Drosophila melanogaster: one gene and its partner. Changing the gene in region 2 together with the main gene of any one other region gives a genetic interaction. Each region holds a gene or a part of one and is shown on either strand. Other genes may lie near its edges. The genes, in order: Rnb and Hr51.

Region 1 (9,554 bases), on a different chromosome or scaffold from region 2:
TCTTCATTGCGCGTTGTATATTTTCAAAAAATATAAGAACGCGAACGCGAACGCGAACGACCGACGATGCATGATGAGAATGATAAGGATAATGATGATAATAGGGCGTGTAGATTTGCAGGATGCGTTGTGATATTTATTATAAAACGAATACAAAAGATGCGAGGATGAAACAAAGTAGAAAGCAAACAGGAGCGTCTAATGAAAGGAACTAAGCCGGTTTTAAAATTGTACATTTAAACGAATCGTAAAGCGTAAATATACTATAAAACAAAACAAAGTGAATATATATTCAGCATACAAACTAAATACAATGCCTTGAGAGAGAATTAAGAAATGCAAACCTTTATATATAGAGATCTACATACATATATGTATGCATGTACATTTAAAGCTAAACAATAATGGCGTTGAAGCGAGTTTTATATTGAGCAAAAGCAAATGTGAAATGAGATAAATATACTTATTGTGTACTCTGTAAGCTGCAGTAGAAACCAAAATATATTTTTACTAAACGCAACATTGCGCTATTTTCAAATACCATTTATAAGAAATGACAAAAGCAAAGCAATTATTTAATATGTAATTATGTATTATGTATACCTATATCTACCTACCCACAACCTTAAATCAAAAAACCCAAAACGATTCAACAAAAGCTGATCAGGTAAAGCAACTCTCGCCAGTTTCCACACTAAATTCTCAGAATATTCAAAATTTTAATCTATACAAAACCAAACCGATTGATAGCAAATAAATGCACTTATAAGGGCAGAAAAACACCAAAATTTAAAAATGAAATGGAATAAAATAGAAATAAAAAGACCGACAAAACCTAAAGACGATTTGTGGAATTATTTCTGAAGTTATAGCGATTCACATGACTTGCAAATGGGCTGGCTCGTCGTCAGGTAAACATATCAGGTAGATTAGGGTGGACCAACAAAGGCTGCATTCTCAATTTCTGCAGACTTCTTCAAGCGATTTGAAGTACTTACTTATGGAAGTAAACCTCATTGAGAAAATGGCTCTAATGTGAAAATGCGATCATTCAAGTTATGAAAACATTATGAGATAGAAACACCTAGTTGCTGCCATAAAGACCAGTCTGAAGGGCAGGTAAACGCAGCCGTGTTCTTCCACTCGTCTGATAATGGCACAAACGAGTATATATGTACATACAACACACGCTGCATATATTCATTTTCGGGTTTGCCTTATTTTGCATTTTTTTTTGTTTTTTTTGGGATCTGTTGCTTTCGGTGCAGCCACGAATCGCGGATCTCTGTTTCAGTTACTCGAGAAGCGGCGATATGAGCGGCAGTCAACTTCTTCGCGCCCTGCGACGATCCCTGGGATTGGGCAGGCAGCAGCTGAAGGTCGATAGCCGGCATGTGGTGCTCATCACGGGCTGCGATTCGGGATTGGGGTAAGCTAAGCGAAGCGGGAGCAAGTGGAGCCTAATAACGCAATGATCTCGATAGCCACTCCATGGCAGTTTACTGCCACGAATCGCTGCACATGACCGTGATTTCCTGCTGCCACAACATCAAGTCGGAAGGAGCTAAACTGCTGCAGGGCCTAGCCTCGGCCAAGGATGGACTGAGCAGAATGCACACCTTGGAACTGGATCTATTGGAACCCGATTCCATTCGCCTGGTGCATCGCCAGCTAAGGGACATACTGGCCAAAGACCCCAGCTATCGGCTGACGGCACTGATAAACAATGCTGGAGTAATGTGCTTCGGGGAATTCGAGTGGCAGCTAACGGAGCAGATCGAGGCGCAGATCAACTGCAACCTGCTGGGCACCATGAGGCTGACACATGAACTGCTGCCCCTGCTCCGGCAGCAGCAGGGCAGGATCATCAATGTGACCAGCCACTGCGGATTGCAGGCTCTGCCGGCACTGGGTCCTTATGCCGCCTCCAAGGCAGCCCTTCGCTTCTGGACGGATTCACTCCGCGTGGAGCTGCAGCAGTATGGCATGGAGGTGGTCAACTTCATACCAGGCTCCTTCGTCCTGGACAGCAACATTGCGGCCAGACAGCAGCAGCATGCTCAGAAGATGCGCGAAGCCTTCAGTGCGGAGCAACACGCTCTGTACGACACTTACTTCGAGGCCTTCAATGGTTATCTGAAAGTACTGAGCGGCTTCAAGCCGCCCAATCGCCTGAGGAACGAGTCGCTGCTGGCAAAGTTTAAGGATGCATTGACCAGCTCACAACCCTTGGCTCTGTACATCGAGGAACCCCGTAGATATCGCCTCTATCGCTGGCTCTTTACGCTCTGCCCCACTCCGCTAGTGGATTGGCTCACGGTGCGTTTCTGCGCGATGCCCACCTACGAGTCAACGAACAGGCAGGAGAAGATTTAGATTAATCCGTAGTCTATACATTTTAAATATACATTGTAGCACATTGGAATACTTGGCTAAGGGCTGTGGCAAATAAAACGAGCTGAATCCAGGGAATGGAAAACGCCAAAATGTGATCACAGAACGCAACTGGGTGGTGGTGTCTAGAAGACATAGCCGCGACAGCGCTCGAACACCGCATCGTTGAGCAGCTGGAACCACTCGCTGGCATAGGTGGAGTCCTCCGCTGCCCGGAACAGCTGAAGCTTTTCCTGCGCGGGCAGCGCGGAGCAGAGATAAAAGCTGATGGCAGTTTCCGTCAGGTCGGCATGGTAGTTCTTCAGCGCCCACTCGAGCAGGCGCAGGCAGTTGTGTGAGTCCAGGTACTGGATGAGTCTTTGCTGCAATACCGCCTCCATATCGGGCATGATGTACACGCGGGCCATCTCGTAGGCCTGCAGCAGGGCGGGGTAATCCGGCTCGGTTAGATGCCGCTCCTGGCACACGATTAAATGCAGAAAGTAGCGCAGTCCACTGGCAGTGTAATCTGGCAGCTGAATCTCGCCTTGGTGACCCTCGCGGAAATCACTGTTGAGCATCTTGTTGAACACTTCGCTGGTGTCGCAGAGCAGCTGCTTATTAAACCCAATGGAGGTGGAATCCGCTCCATGACCAACGAGGAATCGCATGTCGCAGTTGGCGTGCAGCGGTGCGGTATCATTTGCAATTTGGTTGCAGATTCCTGCTGTACTCTCCGCTGGTTCGGCTTCTGGCATAACGATGCCCAGGGTATATCGCGCCATCGATGTCACCGCATCCGCCGCCTCATCTGCGTAGTGGTCCTCGGTCTTCTTGCGCAGCATCATGTCGAATAGCATATTCAGCGCATTGCCGTCGTACAGGAACTGATAGAGCAATCGATGGCTTTTAACTATGTAGGCCACCGAAATGGCGGCTCTCTGTTGGGATATCACATCGTCGCAGCGCAGGAGACGCACTAGCTCCTCCTTGCCATAATTCGATTCTCCCACATTGGTTAACGTCTCCAAGAAGGCGAAGCCGTCTTTGCGAATCTGAAATATACGTGCGGTGTTAACTGTGATGAACATTAGATGAATGGGCTCACTTTACCTCCTTCAGCTTGGTAAACTGGTACAGTTGATGGACCACGCCATGCTTTATTATCTGGGCAAAGAACTGGCTCTCACTGAAAGGATATACGTGCAATTAGAATACATGCTTATCCTTAGTTCAGCTTGACAACTTACAGTAGAATATTTGTCAGGGCATTTGGGAAATTATTGTTCGATCCAAACAATTTGATGGCTCTAATCAGAGTGTCGAGCGTCTCTGGCTTTCCCAGCTCCACTCGCTTGTTCACCATCAGCGTGATGCGATAGATAAGGTTTTCTATTATGTCAATGGTGTTGCATGTTGTATTGCGGAACGGGGCTAGTTTCGGTGGTACATCCGAGCTCAGTTCCTCGAGATCCTCTTTGTCGGACAGCGGATCATCTATGGGTTCGCTGCCCTCCTCAATTAGTTTCAGTATATCCAGAACATTCGAAGGCTGCGAACGATTGGCGGCTATGCGCCGCTCTCTTGTGTCCAAATTGCTATTATTTGTGCTGTCATCCTCATCTTCGTCGTCATCACTGCACGCCGGAGAATAGTTGTCGTCGTCATCATTCGTCAGCAGATCTGTGCACACCGGTGACATGCTGCGCGAACTGCAGGGACTGGTTGTGCGATAAGACCTAGGTGAACTGCTCGGCGATTCAAAGTCCGATCCTAAGGTCTCGTGGGTTTTTGAGAACTTGTGTGCAAAAAGTGGGTATAATTAGCAAGTGGCTTGTAAACATATGCTAGCTGCTATGCTGCTAAATAAATACCTTGCTCAGCGTCTCTGGCGTTGTGGGATCCGTCAGTTTTCTTTTTTTACCACCTTGCAGTCTCTCGTCTCGTCGACGTTTGTGATGCTCATCATCGCTGGTCAGGTAATCGTTTAGTTCCCGCACCAACATGGGCATTAGTCCTTCATACAGCATGAGTTCCATGCTTAAGTTATCATATTGGAAGTTGTAAAGTATGTGAAATAGCTGTTGGGTATGAAGAAAGCCATTATATATAGCAGATGTCAAGAGGGATTTGGTTTCCATCTCACCGATGATCGCTCGCTCTGCGAGTTGGAGTCCCGGATCATGGCCACCAGCTTGCGCAGTGCCCCACATCTCCGGATCTTCGAGCGGCTGCAGGCATCGGTGGATAGCGTCAAGATTATGTTGATGCAGTGCCGGCTCTCGCTTTCGCTAAGTGGCTTTGCCATGTTCACAGCCATGAGCATCTCGCAGGCAGCCACAATGGCATCCGCAGTGCTCAGCATGTAGAAGGCGAAGGGATCCTTGCAGAAGTTAGAGAGGATTTTAAGGGCAGAGGCCCGTTGGTCGCCGTCCTCCTTTACGAAGCACACAATGGAGGCGAGCGAGGTATTCCAGGAAATGGACTAACAAGAAATGTTTATTATGTACTACGTTTTGGAGAACTTAGAAAACAGTCTCACCTCCCAAACTTTCAGTCCAATTTGCTGCGCGGATATCAGGACCAGACACTTCAGAATCTCGAGGGCCAGCTCAACGGCCGCTTCATTTTCCTTGGGCAGCGCATAGTCACAGTTCCTTGTGGAATTCTTGAGCATCTGGTGGTCAAAGATGTCACTGCGAACACCCTCCAAATTCCGGGCTACCTCCTCGAAATACTTCTCACGGTGCTGGTTCCTCTTCAGGCCAATCAGCGTGGACATCTCGATGTCCGGAACGGGCTCCTTGGATGCCTCTTCGTTCTTCATCACGGCCAGAAAAATTCGCATCAGCTGCTGGAACCCATTGGCCATGAGGAAGTACTTCAGGAACTGGCTGCTGGCCAGAAGGAAACGGCAGACGCGGAATGCCATGATGCGGGTCTGCACCGCACTGGTGGACTCAATGATGTGGCAGATGGCCGGTGCAATGGCCGCATAGTGCACTGTGAGACACTGGGACGCCTTCTTGCTCTTGGCGATGTTTCCAAGCATCCGGCAGGCGCGGCACTGGATCAGGGGATTAGGTATGGTCTTCAGAATGGTCACCAGCGGGTGAATCACCTTGCATTCAACAGCCTTAAAGTGGAAAGTTTTAAATTTTTTTAACCGTTGTGGTTCAAAATAAAGATAAAAATGTAATCTGATAATCCCACCTCAATGCAGGACTGTTCGTCGGTGCAGCAGTTCCCCAGTATGCTCAGTACCACCTCCATTATCTTTTCATTCAGCTTGGTGATCAGTCGCACCTGGAAGACGCAATTAATAATGATTTAAAAATCGATTCGAATAACGATCCTATGTGAGCGGCAGTGGCTGTCAAACCACCATGAGCGTTGTGACTCCCAAACCCACCATGATGTGAACGCCCCCAGCAGTGCGAAATAAAACAATGCCATTTTTATCCTTCACCAGATCGGTGCGCAGCTTCACCAGGCATTTGTAAATGACTGTTCGATCCGTGGAGGTCTTTAGCACTTCCAGCATGCTCTCCACTTGCTCTGGTGTCCAGAACATTGGTAATTTTCTTAATTTTTAAACAAATTGAAACAATTCAACAAATTCTACAGTGCGTCTCAAACCTCTTTGAGAGTGTGACCGTGCATAAGAGCGTATTTTACGGTATTTTACGTTATTTTTCGAAAATCCAGCAGCGGTCTGCCTTATTTATAAACTGATGTTTACGTTTTAGCTTTGGATGCGAATTCGATTCTACAATAATAAATGGAAGCAGGCCTGTTTTTTATGTAGATTATACAAGTTCCCACAAAATTACCTCCAAGCTTTTAATTTCAAATTATTTTAATATTTTTTAAAACCCATTTAATAATTTTTCCTATATTTATTTACTTTCTTTGTTTACCGTAATCGTGACACGAGGGCTGAAGTGTCATCACCAAATCAGGCGCTATTTGGTGTTTTTCAACTGCCAACAACGGTCTTACAGAATTAAAGACAAAAACGCAATCGACTAAAGTAATTAGTTAATAACTAGCTGTCTTTGTTGCGCGTAAACACGGACTTTCCCCAGAACGAAGCTAATTTGCCCAAGTCGTGCATCCAAGCTTTTCACAGATTTGGAAAAACCTGTTTCGCAGTGCTTGTGACTCATCAGTTTTCGCAGGCTCAAGGAGAGAACTTAGCCATGGACGCCACTAACAATGGAGAATCCGCCGACCAGGTGGGCATCAGGGTGGGCAATCCGGAGCAGCCCAACGATCACACAGATGCCCTGGGCTCCGTGGGATCCGGAGGAGCGGGTAGCAGCGGCCTGGTCGCAGGATCCTCGCATCCTTACGGCAGCGGAGCCATTGGGCAGCTGGCCAACGGGTACAGCTCACCCTCGTCCAGCTACCGTAAGAATGTAGCCAAAATGGTCACCGACCGCCATGCAGCCGAGTACAACATGCGCCACAAGAACCGCGGAATGGCACTGATCTTCAACCATGAGCACTTCGAGGTGCCCACCTTGAAGTCTCGCGCGGGAACCAATGTGGACTGCGAGAATCTGACTCGGGTGCTCAAGCAGCTGGACTTCGAAGTGACCGTGTACAAGGACTGCCGCTACAAGGACATTTTGAGGACAATCGAGTATGCAGCGTCGCAGAATCACAGCGATAGTGATTGCATCCTGGTCGCCATCCTGTCGCACGGCGAGATGGGCTACATCTACGCCAAGGACACACAGTACAAGCTGGATAACATCTGGAGCTTCTTCACGGCCAATCACTGCCCCTCGCTAGCCGGCAAACCCAAGTTGTTCTTCATACAGGCCTGCCAGGGCGACAGATTGGATGGCGGAGTGACCATGCAGCGTTCTCAGACGGAAACCGATGGCGACTCCTCGATGAGCTACAAGATTCCAGTGCACGCCGACTTTCTGATCGCCTACTCGACGGTTCCTGGATTCTATTCGTGGCGCAACACCACCCGCGGCAGCTGGTTCATGCAGAGCCTGTGCGCCGAACTGGCGGCCAATGGCAAGCGGCTGGACATCCTGACCCTGCTCACATTCGTGTGCCAGCGGGTGGCCGTGGACTTTGAGTCCTGCACCCCGGACACTCCGGAGATGCACCAGCAGAAGCAGATACCCTGCATAACCACCATGCTGACGCGCATTCTGCGTTTCAGCGACAAGCAGTTGGCACCAGCCGGACGGGTTTGATGGCTAATGGTATGGATCAAACGGTGGGTACGGCGAGGTGTGTGATAAACCAAGTCGCAATTAAGTTAGAACCTCATGGGCTATCGGCCTTGCAGCATATTTTTTATACAACACTTTTTTAACCTGCCCAATTGCTCGACGAGATTGGTGCCACTGCCCGTTTTATTTTATTTAGGCACAAAGTATCTTTCGATTGACATTTATTAATGTCGCATTTACTCGTCTGTATTTATATTTTTTGGGGTGGGTAGAGTAGATCGATTTAACTTAGAAATCTAAGAGGTTTTTACTCCGGCCAAAATTTTTTGACAATTTTAACTTGCCAACTGAACAAAGACGATCTCAAAATTTTAAATTCTCTACTAAACCTTATCATAGAACAACTTGCGCCTCTTTGATTCTCGATCAGGAATGTCGGCCCACCCTTATCTATATCTACCTTAGACCATTTACAGACAAGACCTTTTTACAATTTTATACACATAGATATCTTTATAGTATAAGCCTGTGTGTCATGGTCGTCCAAAACGAAAACAAACGATTTTAGCCTGTAGTCGAGTGTTTTATGAACAATATATACTATTTCTATGCCATTTGTACTCTTATATAATGCACATTAGCAAATGTTCTCCTTTCAAGTTAACCGCTAATAAATCCGATTGAAAACAATGAGAAATCAATGACCATTGGCTGTTTGCTGTTGACCCTGTCGCCTCTTTTGGGCGCCAAGTTGAGCGGCATTTCCCGAAAAGGTAGCACGCGGAGACGGAAAAATAGACGAGTCCAGCCATTGGCTGACCCTGATCGTACGATTTCAGAGCTTACAATCACTTTATTCTTAGAGCTGGACACAACGAGAATAAATTCCAATTTATAGTTCACTTAAAGCACACGGGTATGGGTTGAATTCAGAGAAATTTAAAGCCTGTCAGCAAATCCGACTCTCCGGCTAGATAAATGCACGTTTCTGATAACTTTCGACTAATTAAAAACGTAGAATATGCGCTCACAATTTTCTAGTTGAGGAACATCTAGATGTGGCCGCCCTCCTTTAGCTTGGCCACCAGGGCATCCACGTCGGCGACGGTGGCGCCGGCCTGGCGCACAGGAGGATCCTCCACGGAGATGACCTCGATGCGGGGCGAGGTGTCCACGCCGAGATCCTTGGCCGTAACCTTCTTCAGCGGCTTCTTCTTGGCCTTCATGATGTTCGGCAACGTGGCGTAGCGAGGGGTGTTCAGCCGGAGATCGGCGCTCAGCACAGCCGGGGTCTTGGTCTTGATTGTCTCCAGGCCACCATCAATTTCACGCGTGATGGTCAGACCGGCGTCTGTCTTCTCGATCTTGTTGCAGAAGGTGCCCTGCGGCCAGTCGAGCACGGCGGCGGTCATCTGGGCCGTTTGGTTGGCATCATCGTCGATGGCCTGCTTGCCAAGGATGACCAGGTCGGCTTTTTCGTCAAGAGCCAACTTGGCCAGAATCTTCGACACGTGGATGGGCTGCAGAAGCTCGTACTCGGCGGCCGGGATCTCTACGTGGACGCCGCGATCGGCGCCCATGGCCAGGGCGGTGCGGATCACCTCCTGCGACTGGGCCGGGCCCACGGAGACGGCGATCACCTCCTCGGCCAGCTTTTTCTCCTTCAGCTTCACCGCCTCCTCCACGGCGATCTCGTCGAAGGGATTCATCGAGTGCTTCACGCCCTGGGTGACCACGCCAGTCTTGTCGGGCTTGACGCGCACCTGGACATGATAAATGTAACCTGAATTAGTTTAATTGCCGCTTAATTAAGGCGATTACGCAAAACAGAGCGCAACAAGTGATAAAAAGACAATGGGACAAGATGCGCAACAGGCGACTTTTCAGGCTCACCTTGACGGCGTAGTCGATCACACGCTTAACTCCAACCAAAACACGCGCCATTTTCTGCCAAATTAGTTATAAAATTGATGAAATTTA
Region 2 (8,501 bases):
TCGCCCTTTGTTCTGTCCTGGTGGAACTTTAATCAAATCAGGGCTGAGTGCCATCCCTCCCACTCGAAATCCATCGAAATCCATGCAACCATTTTTAGCCCAGTCATCGCCTGCCCTTTTGCACACTAAGCCTGCGCCAAAATTCAAAGATGGCCAACGCTCCTAGAAATCTCTAGCCGTCCATTTCGTTTCCATTTTATGTGCTTCGTGGCGCCTTGGTAGGAAATCACTTAGCGAAATGTATCCTTGAGATACAGCCCTTGTCTACGTGTGTATATAAAATTGAGGTATTTTGTGTATGCAAATGTTAAATTTTCGTAAACAAATCAAGTAGATTGGATATGTGTGAATGGGCAGCTCATTCCTTTGGCATTCCAAGTTTTGTGTCTCTATAAAAATAATCACATAATATTGCCATTGCCCCAACCATCAAACATCCAGGAATAGACCATGAACGCATTTGTGTATACTAAAACTGGAAAATAAAGGACAGACTTTGGCTTTCATATTCTCTACAAATGATATACTTTTAAGTTAAATTGTCACATAAAATACATTTTTAAAGTAAATGAAAAATATAAGGGCATTTTTTCTTAGCCAATGAACAACAAATGAATAAAATCCATAAATTCCGTAGGCTATTCCTACAACCATAACAAATCGAATATATTTCTAGCATGTCCTTGGAAAATTCCTTTGACCACATTCGAAAGTTCTGATTGGAAGCAATTGATTATAATTGAAAACGGCTTAATGGGGCCACCGGAGACAAGGATATAAAAAGGACCAAGGGCCAGATTGACTCTGTCGCCCATCGGGAAACAAGTCACGTCGGTGAAAATATACACTAGACCTGTTATCCCTTTTCCATGTCTGGAGTGTATCCCTCGTTCACTCATTCCCGTGCAGGGGGAGAATGTTGCTCTATTTCATCCCGTAGAGCCGCACAGAACCGCCCCCATTTTTTGACTTTGTTGCGATTCGGCTTAGTCGATGGACGAAGATGTCGGGAGGGCGGATGGATGCGGGTGCTGGGCCACATTTGGCCAAGTGTTTTGCGCTTAAGCCCTCCATATCAATCTCATGGGACCAGGACACGGATATAGAGATTTCGACATTTGTGATTTACCGAGCCCGCTGGAAAGCCGCAGAGCAAAGCATGCATTACTGTATCATAACTTTATGTTTTTGCTGGCATTGATTCCGTCGTTTTGGATTATGGGATTTTTCTCTCTGATTTAATGATAATTGAAAACGCTCGACAAACTTTGATTCGCGCTTTTGCTTCTCTTCTCTTCTTTTTTTTTTTTTTTGTCAGATTTTGGAAAATTCCCACGTCAAAAGAAAAAGTTTTAAACGAATTCACTTTAAATTCAATTACATTTTAAGCTGCAATCCAGAGAGAGGGGAGCGAAAGTAAAGTGGCATTCGCACATGATGCCATTCTGGGCACAAAGTCAACGCGAGGGCAAATATGCGCATTCAAAAGTTGACGCTCAAATCCCAAAGATTTGAATAATTGTAATGAATTTGCCGGAGCTCCGTAATCCGCCAGACGAGCCTCCGGGCACAGCGGCCCACACCCATCCCGGCACCACCCACTTTTGGGCAAATGTTGCAACATTTAATGGAAATGAAATGGTAATGACTGGATTTGGGAGCATAGTTAGGGCTACACTGAAATAAAACTGGCACCACACATTTAAAATTCACAAAATGGGAGTGTTTGCAGGGGAGTATCAATATATGTATTAATGGTTTAAATTACTCTTTATGCCTATATGGCATAATTACTTTACTCTCTATATGACGTGTTAAGGAAGTCCTTTTTGTTATTTATAGTTTTTATTTCTAATTTGAGGTCCGCAAAATATCTTTCTGTGTGCACTCACCGATAAATGAGTTTCCGCCGCACGCTGCGTTTGAAGAATCCGGAGCAGCCATTGCAGGCTAGGATTCCGTAGTGCTTTCCCGAGCTGGTGTCGCCGCACACCACGCAGATGAGGCCCAGGTTCTGACCCTTAATCCGGGTCATCGATGAACCCTCCGCCGCCGACGAGTGGTTCATGGAGTTGGCTGCCGCTTGGGCTGCCGCCGCCGCAGCAGCTGCAGCGGCACTGTGATTCCAGCTCAGCAATCGACCATTGGGCACGTTTGGGGCGGCGGGATGAGGGGGCGGTGGCTGTGTGGGCGGGGCCACGCCCGTTGATGTAGGTGGAGGCGCCTGTCCGTGCATCGGCGCCGGCGGCGGAGTGTAGCAATGCCGCTGCGGACTGTGGAGTTCTAAAGTTATGAAGCAGATTAGTGAATGGTATCTAAGAGAATCGAAATTGTATCTTTTTGTTATCTGGGAAGTTACTACGGCTTTATTAAGATCATACAGTTGGGTTTATTAGCTCGTATATAGATCTTAAAATCAACGAATTGTGCAAGTGGTTAAAGCTTAGTTGGCGTTTAAATATTAATAAATATTCAAAATTGTTTATAAAACGGGAAAAATAGTATACATAATGTTTAGCTAATACTAGCAGAATGTAGAAATGTAATGTATAATTCTATACAATTTCCGCACTGTAGCTTAACATTTTTAAACTTAACGCGTAATGATTGTCCTTTAGCTATTCTTTTCATCGGCATATTAAATGATTAATCTCGTTCCAGCATAAGACATTTAAAATTTTCGACCAGACTTAAGACCAGTTTTCCCGGTGGTAATGGGTGGTGCAATAAAAAATCACTTATGCAGTTCATATAAATTAAATCCCAATTTGTCAGTTGTACCGGATTGCGGATGCAAAGGACCTGCCGATCTTATCCCTGCGTGGCGACATTGACGCCCTGTAATCCGCAAATATATTTACACATTCAATTAGGGTGCCATTAAGCCAAACGGCTCTCGACCAGAGCGTGCCGAGCAATCTGTGCGCCAAATTTGCCTCGGGGGACGATTGTTTTGCCATCACACCCTAATTTGATTGTAGTTTCCTTACTGATTTTTTGATGCACTTAACCCTCGACGTTCCAAGGACGAGGCTGAGGACACATTTGTAACACTCGCCACTTGGCTGTGCGCTCGACCATTTGGGTTCGTGGTTCTGGTTTGCGTTTGGGTTTGGGTTTTGCTCCTGCTTGGCATTGGAATGGAAAGACAAAGTCAGGCGGCCATTCAGCCGGGACCAACTGGCAGGACTGCGGTCCAAAGCCGGAGGATTAGCGTCATATGCTTGCATTTTCCGGGGCACCGGGGCATCTTTGTTAATTTTATGGGCTCGTTGAAATTCACTTTGGCGCACACAAAAGTGTTAAGGGCGCCGGGATGGCTGTGTTATGAATTTCTGACATTTTTGGCGGCCTGACTCGGAGTCTAATTCAATTTGGTGATTATCGCAAATTGAATTTGCCTGGCCATTCGTGCATGCCATCAGCAAGTTGGGCATCGATTTGATTTGAGTGTCTCCGCAGACAACTGGTTCCTGCAAATTGGTAATTAAAATTGCCAATGTGATTTCCGAGCAGAGCGATCAGAATCCGCTTGTTTCTTTTCATGTTTTAGTCTGGGCATTTTACAATTGATCCAGTCATTTCAACATATAAAAAGTTATACTTCTTAACATTATATTTAAATTGGTCACACAGCTATAAAATAGATTTTCTATTCAAATCGCTAAACTTATAATTGACGTATAAGAATTCGCTTAAAAAAGGAGTCATATCTGAATATCATAAAATGAATTGTTAAAGTTTTTTTTTTGCTAGGAACTCAATCCTTAAAATGTGTGTTAGTTTTCGATATAACATTATTATTTCGGCACTAATTACAACTCACATTTGAAACAATTTTTTCCGTCGGGTAATTAGAATGAAAAAGCTTAAATTTAATTTATATTACGATGCCAGTCGTTTTTTGTAATCTTTGCTTTCACATCCTTTCCGTTTTTTTCTTTAACATATCACTTTTTTTATTTTCCTATCTTATCCGTCCTAATTAATCGTGGGTGTAAGAAACGTAATTATATTTCACGCACAATTTCCCAACAAACGTGATATTGTCCTTTTTAAAATTTGTTGGTAAAGGAATTTTTAGCCACCATTAGGGCCATCTTGTATATTTATTTTTTTATGTATTTAAGTAAGGAAACCACACCTTTGTGTTTACAGCTTAATAAATATATTTCATCACCATACTCATGTTTTTATTAACACACTAATTTACCTTGAGAAGATGGTCGTGTTTCGGAGGAATTTTCTTCCTTATTCATTTTGTTGAGCTTTGGCGGACTGCGATTAAAGATCACACCTCGTTGAAAAGTTTATTAACAATTGACACTATTTGTAAGAATTTCTAAAACACCACTTTTAAATGGCACTTTTCGGGTTCATCGCAGTAGGCTCCATATTAATTTGCAATCGTGGAGAGGCGACGGCAAGTGGACGGTCCTCTGATTCCCGCTGATGAAACCGAACCAATCCGATCCGACGGCGCTGCGAGTGTGCCGCGATGATGATGTTAACGTCTCGATGTACGATTTCAGATTCCGGATTTCAGATTTATCATAAAAGCGTGACAGGAGCTAAACACTGATGTGTCCACTCCAGCAGTCGGCCAACCAGCCAACGGGCCAACCCCGGACTAGGGGGAAAAAACCATATCGCAGGATATAATCCGCGGTCGCTGAGTGGGCAGAGAAGTCCTTGCCGCGCGCGTGTGTGTGTGAGGACAAAAAGCACGGCATACACTGCACACACACACACATAGGAGCAGGAAGAGCAGAGAGCATCGAGCAGCGAGCAAGGAGCAGCGAGCGAAGGATAACCGCACACCACCCACCCACCAACGGAGACTTTTAGTGGCAACTCTGGTGGCGCATTTGCTTGTTGGCTTGCTTTGATTCGTTCCTTCTTGATGCTGCGGCAGGAGCTTGTCCTCGCTGTTAGTGTTAGTGTGTTGGTGTGCGGCCCTGCGAGTGTGGGTAAGCCAAGCCGCAATCGCAATCTCCAATAAACACCCGGCTCTGCGCTCTCTGCGCACACACACAAGCACACATACCAAGGCACTCGAAAGAGCAGAGAACGCCCGGTCGCCATCATGACTCAAAAAAGCTGAGCGACGGCGGGGAGCGGAAACGGAAGTGGGCGGGAGAGCGGAAGTGGAGCAGAGCAATGGTGGCGCCCCACCAATACAACCATGAAACGAATGACGCAGCTGCGCGGCTGGCGCTCGTATAATCGTCTTGGGTTTTGACATTTTGTTTTTGTTTTATAATACCCTTTGTGATGTCGGCGCTTTCGAGCTTGCGTCGTCCTGCCCCTCGATCCTTTCGCTAACAGTTTGGCCCCCCTCTTGACCCTCTGCCAACGACGTCACTCTTGGCCTCGTATTCTAACCGCCCCCTAAAAGCCCCAACTTCCACCCAGAAATTGCCGCCACCCAGTAAACTGTAATTGAATTGAAGAAGAAAATGTTTCTGCTGGTGTCTGTGGGTGTACTTGGATCTAAATCAAGAATATTTAAGTGCACATATAACCAAAAGAGTTTTAAATTATATATATATTATAATATACATATATTATCCTAATATTATAATTTGTTTGTTTTTAAATATTTTTCTAATTTGATGGGTGATTTTATTTAACTTTAATATCACAATCATGTTTCATTTACCTTCCTGATTTTATTGCAACAATTATATATTTATATATTTAGATATAGATATTTAGATTATTATTTGTACAAGAAATTAAAGTAAGAACCAAGGCTTGTATTAAATTAAGTTTTAACGAATTTTAAGAAGCCTCATAGAACCAGTCATTCAAGTTTGTGAACTGTTCGAGAAAATATGCTGAAGACAGAATATATATGCTCAGAAGTGGGTTTTTATATTTTAAAAAGTATAACCTTAAAATATTTATAATGTCAAACTTAATGTAATGTGTAAAGATGTTCTATCTAATGGTCTACGTAGTCTTATTTATGCATACACATTTTTATTTACTCTCTATACATTATAATTTTATGGATAAGAGAGCCAGAGCTAGAGGTGGTCCCGGGTCCACTAATCCAATAATCGATAAATGCTGCTCGCAGGACCAAAACGGGCGGCATGGGGGCTCCGTTGTGCTCCCCGATTTTGTTGTGGGGCTTTTGCCATGCTTAATGCGCCGACATTAACTTTGTAACAAATGAGATGTCGGAATACAACAGTCAGGATCCTGGCAAGCCACAGCCCCTCCCCGCAGCTCCCTCCCTTGCTCCTTTCACCGCTCCTTTCTGCAATCTCGCTCTCTTCGCGGGGGAGAAAGCTAGAGAGCAGCTGCGGCTGGCAGAAGTTTATGCTCGGGACAAAAGTGAACAAATGCAAAAGTCAAAGCGCTTTGCCAGCATGGCCACGCCCACCACGTCGAGGGAGGAGCGAACGAGAGCGAGATAGAAATACAGAGAGACAGAGCGACGTTATCCTGTAACAGACGTGCACGCAGGATGCCCGTCGGTGTGAGCGAGAGCAATGACATCGTGCGAGCAGGACGAGCAGAGACGACGGGGTTGGTTCTTGACATTTGAACGGCGACATTTCGCATCGCCAGGATACATACACGAATACTCGTACACTCACCCACACCGACAAATCTCTGCGAGTGCCACCCACTGGAGAGGGCGGTGGGTGGCAAGCCCTATCAAGTGCAGTGCACTTTATTTAATCAATCAAAATTCATGGACTGCCTCTTTTATTCAACATTCAGACACTTTGTATCTTTGATTTACGTTCCGGTAAAGCGGGATTACAAGGAATTGTATTTGTTAGTTACTATTGTATCTTTAAAACGTAAACGTTTATCTAACATTCTTAGTAACATAGTTAGTTTCATAAAATGAAATAAATATAATAAAATAAATAATAAAAAGTGTACACGAAAGTAAACATGTGCTGCTTATCGGCCAAAATGTAATCTCAAGTTTTTGTTCTATTTTGTTCTATCAAACCAAACACATATATACAAACTGTTTGAGATTACAAATTCACAAATAATTTATTTCTAGCTTATCTATAAATGGTTCTAAGCAAAATATATTGAAATGTATTCAAAAATTTATCACAAATTTAAAGCGTTGAATCGAGGCCATTAATAAAGTAACATTTTTAGCGACAATGAAATTTATACATTTTTTATTGCCCTTGCCCTTTTTACAAGTTGATTATACCACTTATTTTTAAGGCCAATACACTTGCTTAATCGCAGCATTCCCTGCCGTGTCCAAAATTTTGTTTTATTTTTCTACTAATCATTGACCTCAGCGCCATCAAAATTTGGGATTTTCCACAGGGTAGTCGAAGTTGATTAGGAATGTGTGCTTCTTAAGCGGATGTACCTACAATTTAGATTCTGGAATAGGGGAATGTTGAGATCCGGAAAAGTTATTGCTTAAATATATCAAAAAAGCCTTTCCTTTCAAAAGCAAGATACCCCCCAATCGATATCTACTATGACAATATAAACTGAATTAAAATCAATGACAGTCCATAACAGGTAACTAAATGTCGAAACGCAATGCCCACTAGCTTGGGTATAAAAGAAGACACTCTTTGGCATTGACTACAGTTCGAAAAAAAATATCAAGATGAAATTAATGGTGATTAAGCTAATGGTCAGTGAAGTTTACATAATCCTCAATTTATTTACCCTTTAGGTTGTCCTGTTCGCCCTGATGGGCATTACCTTGGCCAGACCGGGATACGACGGAGCAGCAACCGCCCAGTGGGGTTTGAGATCCGTTCCACAGAGCGGACAAAGTGGATACGGCAGCTCGCCAAGCGGATACGGCGGATCAGCTTCCCAGAGCGGGCAAGGAGGATACGGTGGCGGGCAGGGAGGATACGGTGGCGGGCAAGGAGGATACGGTGGCGGGCAGGGAGGATACGGTGGCGGGCAAGGAGGATACGGTGGCGTTCAGGGTGGATATGGCCAACCCGCTCCATTGACTGAACAGGTGGGATACGGCGGCACTCAGGGTGGATACGGCAGTGCACAGAAAGGATATGGCGCATCCGTGCCCCCAAATGAATTCGCACTTGGACTCTCGGGCCAAGGACGTTTGGGAGGATATGGCAATGCCACTCCTCAGAGTGGAAAGTTGGGATACGGCGGCGGACAGGGAGGCTACCGAAGACCAGCTCCCCAATCGGGCCAGTTATATGCCGCAGGAGAGCTCGGAGCAGGCCCCCAACTTGTACAGGGAGAATTCTCCGGCGGAATTGGTCACGAGAACTGTAACCACGAGCATCACAAGCATCATGGACATCATGGACGTTACTAAAACGGCAACTTTAAGTATAACAAAGTAAATTAAAAAAAAAAAAAAATTAAATCTTGCGAAAAAGTTGACTTAATTCTTAAGGTATAGTTATTGCTCACATTAAACTAGGAATTAAAACACATAGACATCAATATGCCAAAAATACAAGCACCATTACAACTTTCTATTGAACTTCCGCAATAATTATCAA

The links.
Region 1: of Hr51 (region 2) and Rnb, changing one enhances a phenotype caused by changing the other (phenotypic enhancement), as found in Drosophila melanogaster (one study listed by BioGRID).

The regions. Positions count from the first base shown.
Region 1 is NT_033777.3:29,793,323-29,802,876, forward strand, and holds Rnb (R and B), read right to left. Parts: upstream 6,033-9,554; 5' UTR 5,948-6,032; coding exon 5,786-5,947; intron 5,680-5,785; coding exon 5,587-5,679; intron 5,510-5,586; coding exon 4,916-5,509; intron 4,859-4,915; coding exon 4,520-4,858; intron 4,455-4,519; coding exon 4,248-4,454; intron 4,172-4,247; coding exon 3,624-4,171; intron 3,563-3,623; coding exon 3,487-3,562; intron 3,429-3,486; coding exon 2,520-3,428; 3' UTR 2,377-2,519; downstream 1-2,376. Other genes in the region: sro (shroud), read left to right, coding at 1,314-1,429, 1,485-2,376; Drice (death related ICE-like caspase), read left to right, coding at 6,576-7,595; Etfb (electron transfer flavoprotein beta subunit), read right to left, coding at 8,627-9,337, 9,468-9,518.
Region 2 is NT_033778.4:15,327,359-15,335,859, reverse strand, and holds the start of Hr51 (hormone receptor 51), read right to left. Parts: upstream 4,536-8,501; 5' UTR 4,260-4,535; coding exon 4,214-4,259; intron 2,284-4,213; coding exon 1,893-2,283; intron 1-1,892. Other genes in the region: CG8160 (uncharacterized protein), read left to right, coding at 7,616-7,627, 7,685-8,311.